Linked DNA regions of Callithrix jacchus. Each later gene encodes a partner of the first gene's protein in a complex. Links are inferred from orthologs where the notes say so. Each region holds a gene or a part of one and is shown on either strand. Other genes may lie near its edges.

Evidence for each region.
Region 2: the proteins of TAPBPL (region 1) and MR1 are in contact, whole or in part, in an NMR structure (PDB 7RNO), measured with the Homo sapiens proteins. The link is inferred for Callithrix jacchus from reciprocal best matches to the Homo sapiens genes TAPBPL and MR1. Residues at the interface, in NP_060479.3 of Homo sapiens: His47, Arg48, Gly49, Ala50, Ala52, Ser53, Ser54, Leu129, Met131, Thr132, Glu133, Thr135, Arg228, Gln230, Lys232, Gly233, Arg234, Gly235, Thr280, Ile282, Gln293, Ile295, Gln297, Arg307, Leu308, Ser309, Ile320, Cys321, Asp322, Leu355; in NP_001372090.1 of Homo sapiens: Arg101, Arg104, His105, Asn107, Thr129, Gly130, Phe131, Leu132, Gln133, Ile143, Phe144, Asn145, Asp147, Thr148, Leu152, Ala153, Val154, His159, Thr160, Lys162, Gln163, Ala164, Ala167, Asn168, Gln169, His170, Thr213, Phe214, Pro215, Asp248.

What each region holds. Positions count from the first base shown.
Region 1 is NC_133510.1:20,075,825-20,079,603, forward strand, and holds part of TAPBPL (tapasin-related protein), read left to right. Parts: intron 1-1,914; coding exon 1,915-2,253; intron 2,254-3,156; coding exon 3,157-3,459; intron 3,460-3,779. UniProt on the Homo sapiens protein: Component of the antigen processing and presentation pathway, which binds to MHC class I coupled with beta2-microglobulin/B2M. Association between TAPBPR and MHC class I occurs in the absence of a functional peptide-loading complex (PLC).
Region 2 is NC_133519.1:39,321,727-39,325,578, reverse strand, and holds the start of MR1 (major histocompatibility complex class I-related protein 1), read right to left. Parts: upstream 3,060-3,852; 5' UTR 2,967-3,059; coding exon 2,912-2,966; intron 1-2,911. UniProt on the Homo sapiens protein: Antigen-presenting molecule specialized in displaying microbial pyrimidine-based metabolites to alpha-beta T cell receptors (TCR) on innate-type mucosal-associated invariant T (MAIT) cells.

The DNA.
Region 1 (3,779 bases):
GTTTACCCATGGTGCAGGCAGTAAGGAGGCGCAGTGTGTAAAATATTTCAGAACAGGCCAGGTGTAATGGCTCACGCCTGTAATCCCAGCACTTTGGGAGGCTGAGGCGGGTGGATCACCTGAAGTCAGGAGCTCAGGACCAGCCTGGCCAACATGGTGAAACCCCCTCTCTACTAAAAATACAAAAATTAGCCAGGCATGGTGGCGTGCACCTGTAATCTCAGCTACATGGGAGGCTGAGGCAGGAGAATTGCTGGACCCTGGGAGGCGGAGGCTGCGGTGAGCCGAGATCTCACCATTGTACTCCAGCCTGGGTAACAACAGAGACTCCATCTCAAAAAAAAAAAAAAATTCAGAATAATAAAATCAGCTGAAAGTCAAATGGCTTTATAGTGTCACCATCTCCCAACATCAGCAATTCTGAACAGTATCAGTGATAAAATACTCCTCCCTGCCAGGGCAGACTGTCCCTATCTCTCCACACCACTGCCTAGTATGCCACTGCTCTTCATACTTGAAGATATTTTTAAATTGATACAGTAGTAGCCTCAACTATGAAGTCCAGGGCATGGTGGTGCACACCTGTAGTCCCAGCTGCTCAGGAGGCTGAGGCAGGAGGACTGCTTGAGCCCAGGAGTCTAAGTCCTGCCTGGGAACATAGGGAGACCCTGTCTCTTGTGCCTCAGTCTCCCAAGTAGCTGGGATTACAGGCACCCACCACCACATCCAGCTAATTTTTTTTTTTTAATGGAGTCTTGCTCTTTCATCAGGCTGGAGTGCAGTGGCGAGATCTTGGCTCACTGAAACCTCCACCTCCCGGGTTCAAGTGATTCTCCTGCCTCAGCCTCCCAAGTAGCTGGGACTACAGCTGCAGGCTAACACACCCAGCTAATTTTTGTATTTTTAGTGGAGATGGGGTTTCACCATGTTGACCAGGATAATCTTGATCTCTTGACCTTGTGATCTACCCACATTGGCCTCCCAAAGTGCTGGGATTACAGGCATGCATCACTGCACTTGGCATACCTGGTTAATTGTGTATTTTTAGTTGAGATGGGATTTTACCATATTGGCCAGGCTGGTCTTGAACTCCTGATCTCAAGTGATCTGCCCATCTTGGCCTCCCAAAGTGCTGGGATTACAGATGTGAGCCACTGTGCCTGGACTGAGACCCTGTCTCTTAAAAAAAAATTAATTAAATGTCTCCAAATTCAAATTTCTCCACTTGTCCCAATAATGTTTTTCACTGCTTTCTTTTTCTAAGTACACAATTGAAACAAGAATCATGCGCTGCATTTAGCTGTGCTGTTCCTTGTTTTAATCTAGAGCATTTTTCACAGAATTGACATCTTTGAAGGGTCCAGGCTAGTGGTCTTGCAGAATATCCCACCATTTAGATTTGTCTGATTGTTTTCCTCCTGACTGGATTTAGGTTAAGCATGTTTGGCACAGTCACTACTACTAAGTGCTTTTTAAAGTCTCTTTCCTAGTCTTCATGGTATCCTTGCTTAAACAGGTGAGCTTTGTAACACTAAGTGACTTGTCAAAGGTCACAGAGCCAGTAAGCAGAACAACCAGGGTTTCAGAGCTCTTTCGGCTATTCTAGTAGTTCTTACCTGAAGATTGACGGTAACTCTTAATTTTGCATGTGTATTTCCTGGTGAGAGGTCCATAGCTTTCACTAGATTATCCTAGGGGTGAGTGATCCCAAGATGATAAAGGTCGCCATGTGTACCATGCTGCCTTTCTAGAACCCCATTTCTTTGTGGTTCCATGTGATGGAAAATAAGCTCAACTGGCCTCACTGCCAGGCAAGGAGGAAGAGGCAAGGCCCATAACACGCCCACAGCTTAAAGATCATGTGACCTCAAGGAGGAAGTAGCCCACAAATCACCCCTCTTTTCCTCTTGACAGTGGAGTTCCAGGTGACGACACAGACCCAATCCCTGAGCTTCCTGCTGGGATCCTCAGCCTCCTTGGACTGTGGCTTCTCCATGGCACCAGGCTTGGACCTCATCAATGTGGAGTGGCGGCTGCAGCACAAGGGCAAGGGTCAGATGGTGTACAGCTGGACCGCAGGGCAGGGGCAGGCTGGGCGGAAGGGCGCTACCCTGAAGCCTGAACAGATGGGCATGGCTGGGGATGCCTCCCTCACATTGCCCAGCCTCACTCTACAGGATGAGGGGACCTATGTTTGTCAGATCACCACCTCTCTGCACAGAGCTCAGCAGATCATCCAGCTCAACATCCAAGGTGAGGCCAGGACACAGTTATCCCAGGGAGGGGGACAGAAAATGCCTACTGGAGTGTTTCCAGACTGGGACCCAAACGCAAGAGTGATTCCCTGAGAAGCAGGCGTCATTCCCACAATTTAAATGCCATCTTCACCCTGGAAACACAGATGGCATTAGATAAGGAGTCCCAGCTGGGCATAGTGGCTCATGCCTGTAATCCCAGCACTTTAGGAAGCTGAGGTGGGCAGATCATCTGAGGTCAGGAGTTCAAGACCAACCTGGCCAACATGGTGAAACCCACTCCCTACTAAAAATAGAAAAATTAAGCAGGCATGGTGGTGGGTGCCTGTAGTCCCAGTTAGTCAGGAGGCCGAGGCAGGAGAATCTCTTGAATCCAGGAGGCAGAGGTTGCAGTGAGCTGAGATTCTACCACTGCACTCCAGCCTGGCAACAGAGCGAGACTCCGTCTCAAAAAAAAAAAAAAAAAAAAAAAAAGAGTCCATTGGACTCCAGGATAATTCCACCAAGATTTCCAGGCCAGGATGCTGCTGCCCTGCTGTGGCCGGCTGTCTCCAACAGCTCAGTCCTTTTGGGCCACATCCTGAAGAACAGTAGCAGCAAACCAAGGCGGGGCAGTGGGAACAGTTCTAACCATCATCACTGCTATCCTTTAAAATTGCTGGCTTAGAATGGTGCCAGCCAACCTTTAGATGACTTTACTATCACTTTTCTGGAAAATGCAACCCGCAAATTATGGCCTGCATCCATGTGGGCCCCTCACATGCCTCCGCCTTGGTATACTACCAAGGGACACTTTAGCATCCACAATCTACTCTCATCTTGGCAGGAAGAAAAGGCTTCAGGTTCCTCCACTGTCCCCAGCTGGATCCCTGTGTAATCTTATTCCTCATTCTTTCTCCAGCTCCCCCCAAAGTACGACTAAGCTTGGCAAATGAAGCTCTGCTGCCCACCCTCGTCTGCAACATTGCTGGCTATTATCCTCTGGATGTGGCGGTGACGTGGACCAGAGAGGAACTGGGTGGATCCCCAGTCCAAGTCTCTGGCGCTTCCTTCTCCAGCCTCAGGCAAAGCGCAGCAGGCACCTACAGCATCTCTTCCTCTCTCACCGCAGAACCTGGGTCTGCAGGTGCCACTTACACCTGCCAGGTCACCCACATCTCTCTGAAGGAGCCCCTTGAGGCCAGAACCCAGGTTGTCCCACCAGGTACTGGGAGTGTCCTCCTTTCTCCACACTTGGGTTCATGGCTTTCTTCCCCCAGTAATCTGTGGCCTCATTCTGCTGCCCATGCACTTTGTTCAGTCCTGGCTTCAGGCTTCTGCCTCTGCTCCTGGCTTTGTCTTTTCCAAGGCGGCAGCTGCCACAGCTTCTACCATACATCCCCTGAGACTTCATTATATTCCAGCCTCCACGGTGCCAGGCAAGGTGCTTAAGGGCTGGAGATCACAGATGAATAATTCCTGATCATGCCCTCTAGGAGCTTAGTCCAGTAACAGAGACGAGACTAAGTAGACAGAGAAGATGAC
Region 2 (3,852 bases), on another chromosome or scaffold:
TAATAAAGTCTTTAGAAAACGCCCATATTTTCTCATGTTAACTCTTTGAACTCAAGGTCACTTTCTAAGCAGATAATATGCATGTATGTTTTTTTAACACTAGCCCAGGTGTTAAAATAGGCTTAGGGAGCCTATCTATCATCAGGCCTCGTCTGTGAAGGACTCCACCATTCATGAAGTAGATTGATATAGCAAATTGAGACAGACTCATAAAAGTATGAGTAATATCAAGAGACTGACCTTGATTATGTCAAGATGAAACACACAAACCACACATGGCTATGCATGAGAAATCTCATGCTGGCCCCCAGACTGACGACACCTACCCATATCACCAATTCAGTTTCACACAGGCTGAAATGAAGAACAAGATGAGTTGTAAAAGCCTGAAACACCTTTTTAACACAAATCCTGCAGCTACAGTAAGCCACACTTTTGCATTTGTAATCATTATTACTGCCCAGGCTCTCTGTGGCTCCCAGTCAAATAACTGTGATTTCTTAGGGACATTACCTCCAAACATAAATTCACCCAGGAAGTATTTACTAGTGCCTGTTGGGCACTAGGTAGTGCCAGAGAAATAAGAAAAAATGAAGACATCTCTTTCTGTCTTTAAGGAGTGCCTCAAAGGGAAGATTTCTGTAAATGGAAAATTATAGAACTGAGAACAGGAGCTATGGGAGCACAAAGGAAGGGGGAGTCAACTGCAGGCTATGGAGTCAATGAAAGCAACACATTGGAAGTGATATTGGAGTTACGTTGACATTTCCTGGAGTAATGACCCACAACACTGCAGAATCTCCTCTCTGTGTTTCTCCATCTATTAATTATATAGCAGCCATTCAGGGCTAGTACTAGGCATAAATATCAAGTACACCAAGTATTTTTTTATAATCTCATATCCTTTCCCTGCCAATGTCCCTCAAAGCCCAGGAATGTTCAGTTAGGGTCCTAGCAGGAAACAGCCTTCAGCCCAGATGGTCACATGAGGAGACCTTAATGAGGACTCCTTGCAGAGATATGGTCAATGTTAAGGGAACACACAAAAATGATGGGCACCAGCAGGCTAACAACTATGGGAAGCCATTATCACTCCTAGGGCTTAAGAGATAAGAATAGCAAATAGTATTACTGAAGCCCAATGGGAGCTGGAACCATGAAGAAGGGGTTACTCAGGAAAGAAAACCGCACGGAAGCACACAGCTACTGCCAGAGACATTATAGAAAGAGGGGAAGGTGCAAGAAAGACATTTCCCAGCCTCTCTTTCCTCCCTGCTCTCTGACCTCTCTCTCTTCAGTGTCTCCCACTGTGGGAACCCAAGCAGAAATCAGCTTGCAAGAGAGTCTAGGTGATGCAGTCTAGCAGTCAGCCTCAAGGACACAAAACAGAACAGAGAAGGATGCAGTCTGAGGAGCCAAAAGGAGAACAGCCAGCACCAAGTGACCTTCCCTTGTCTTTGTAACTTACTTGTTTTATTTCCTATCCCCCCAATTATCAAAGTGACAAGTCTTGACACCCAGAGGCACAGTGACATTGTGAAACAGCCCAGGACAGAGAGCCAGAAGACCTCCAGTCTCCTTCAGGCTGCTCCTTATGTGAGCCTGGTCACTCTCTAGGCCTAGAGAAAAATCCAGGGCTCATCTTTAAATGGAGATATTTCCCTCACCTACCACAGTCAGTGAGATTGTCAAGGGGATAATATGTTTAAGGAATATTATTCCATATTATTGGAGAGTTGAGAATCACATGCAGGCAATATATAAGATTTTTACTTCTAAAAATATCACGCTTTACCTCCCTCCACTGTTCCTCTTTCATCTTCTGCCTCTCACCCTCACCCCAATCCTTCCCATAGATGATGAGACTTTCTGGATTAAATTTTCATGGAAGCAGAGATTATGCCTATTTGTTCACTGCCATATCCCCCAAAGTGCCTGGCACATAGTAGCCCAGCAATCAATATTTGAACAATTAATACATGGATGATTCTTAAATTTTTATTTGTATAAATGTATGATGTAAGCTGCAATTTTGTTATATGCATAGATTGCGTAATGGTCAATTTGGGGTCTTAAAGTATCATCCAAGTAACACACATTGTACCCATTAAGTAATTTCTCATCATCCACCCCTCCACCCTTCTGAATCTCCATTCTCACTCCTTCCACTCTCTACATGCATGGATGATTTGAAAGAGCTCCTTCCTCTCATGTCCATCAGTAATATCTATGGTGGTGGCCAAGCCTACATTCTAGACACACTACCAGTCCTCAGCCCAGAGAGCAGGTGCCTAGAGCAGAGAAGCCTGGCGGTTCTAGCCCAGGGGCCCTTCCACCTATTAGAGGCAACAGAAGGCATTTGCTTCCCCAGTGACATGAGCTCCTAAAGCAATGAAACACTCTCCCTTCTACTTGATTAACACTTCTCACAGCCAGTAAACAAGCCCAGAGCCATGGTTTTATCTTTCCTGGATCTTTTGTTACAGGTAGGGCTTGTGTTGAGAAAACTAAATAAACCTCAACAATGGATCTGCTCCACTGTTAATGCCCCTGAAACTCTGACGACGTCCTCATGAGACTCTGGAGGTTAGAGAAGAGGAGAAACAAAAGTAAAAGAAAAAGTATGAGCAGAAAATAAGGGGGACCACACTCAGAGGGAAAGTGAGGAAGTTCCGGAGTCTAGTCTCTGGAATGGCTCCCACTGCCTCAGAAGGGGGTGACATCAAAGTCCTACAAATAGGAACTGGAAAACTGTTCAGGTCGTCCCTTGCTCCTGGAGTCTTGATGTAATACATACACTTTTTTGCCCCTGGCTTCTATATTTTCCACCACAAGTTTTAGGAAGAAAAGCTGTTCCTTCTAGGCTGCCTCGACTTTGGAGTTACGGGAGAAGAGAATGTGGGGTACTCACGGGCATCACTCTGCTTCGCCATTAATACAACGATGAGAGGTAACAGGAACACCATCAGTTGAGAACCCTGTAGTCCTTCTCTTTCTGGGTTCTTTTAACCAAAAACTGACAGGTCCCTTCCGTGAACCCCTTGAGTGATTTAGCAACTGAGTGACACACAAGGCCTTCTTCCAATAAGTACAGGGGAAAATATGCAGTGACACCAGTTGCTAGGTAAAAAAAAGACGAAAGCTCTGAGCACTCTCTTGGTAACTTTTAACCCTTTGCTGGTTTCAGACACTGTTTACTTCTTTTGGTGTATCTGTCTTCACCCTCTTCCCAACTTTAAAATATTTATGGAGCACAGTCATGTTCAAAACACAGAGAAACAATGATTAATCATATCTGGTCAACCAGGGAGCTCAAGTTGCTGCCTCTGTTCCCTGGAGCTTAGATTTTTGCTTAAGGGTCAATAGGAGTCACACAGTTCCCAGGGCTTGGAACTCCCTGCTCTGGCTCCCTGTGATGCTGTAGTCTCTGCTTCTGAGATAGCAGGTGTCAGTCAGATTTTCCTGTAATCTACAGCTTAGGTCTGTCTTCCCTGCTATTCTAGCACCCAGCACAATAAGCTCAAAATGCTTATTGAATGAAGGAAGGCAAGAGAAAGGCCTAAGAGAAGATTCTGAGGAGCAGCACTCAGCTTGCTCAAGCAGTAATCCGCAGGATCCAGCTGTATCTACACTGTCATCAGGAGCACATGACAAGCTGGAGAACAGCAGCTGAAGCTTGTCCAGGGAGCTGGGGAACAGGTCCAGACAGGAAACAGGCAGTAGGCATGAAGCAGAGACGTAAATGGAGGCAGAGCCATGAGGCAGGCAGGCTTGAGCTGGGTTCAGGGACCTAGGTTTGACTCCCTACTACTTGACCATGGTAGAATCCCAAATTGCTTGGGATTTGACCAT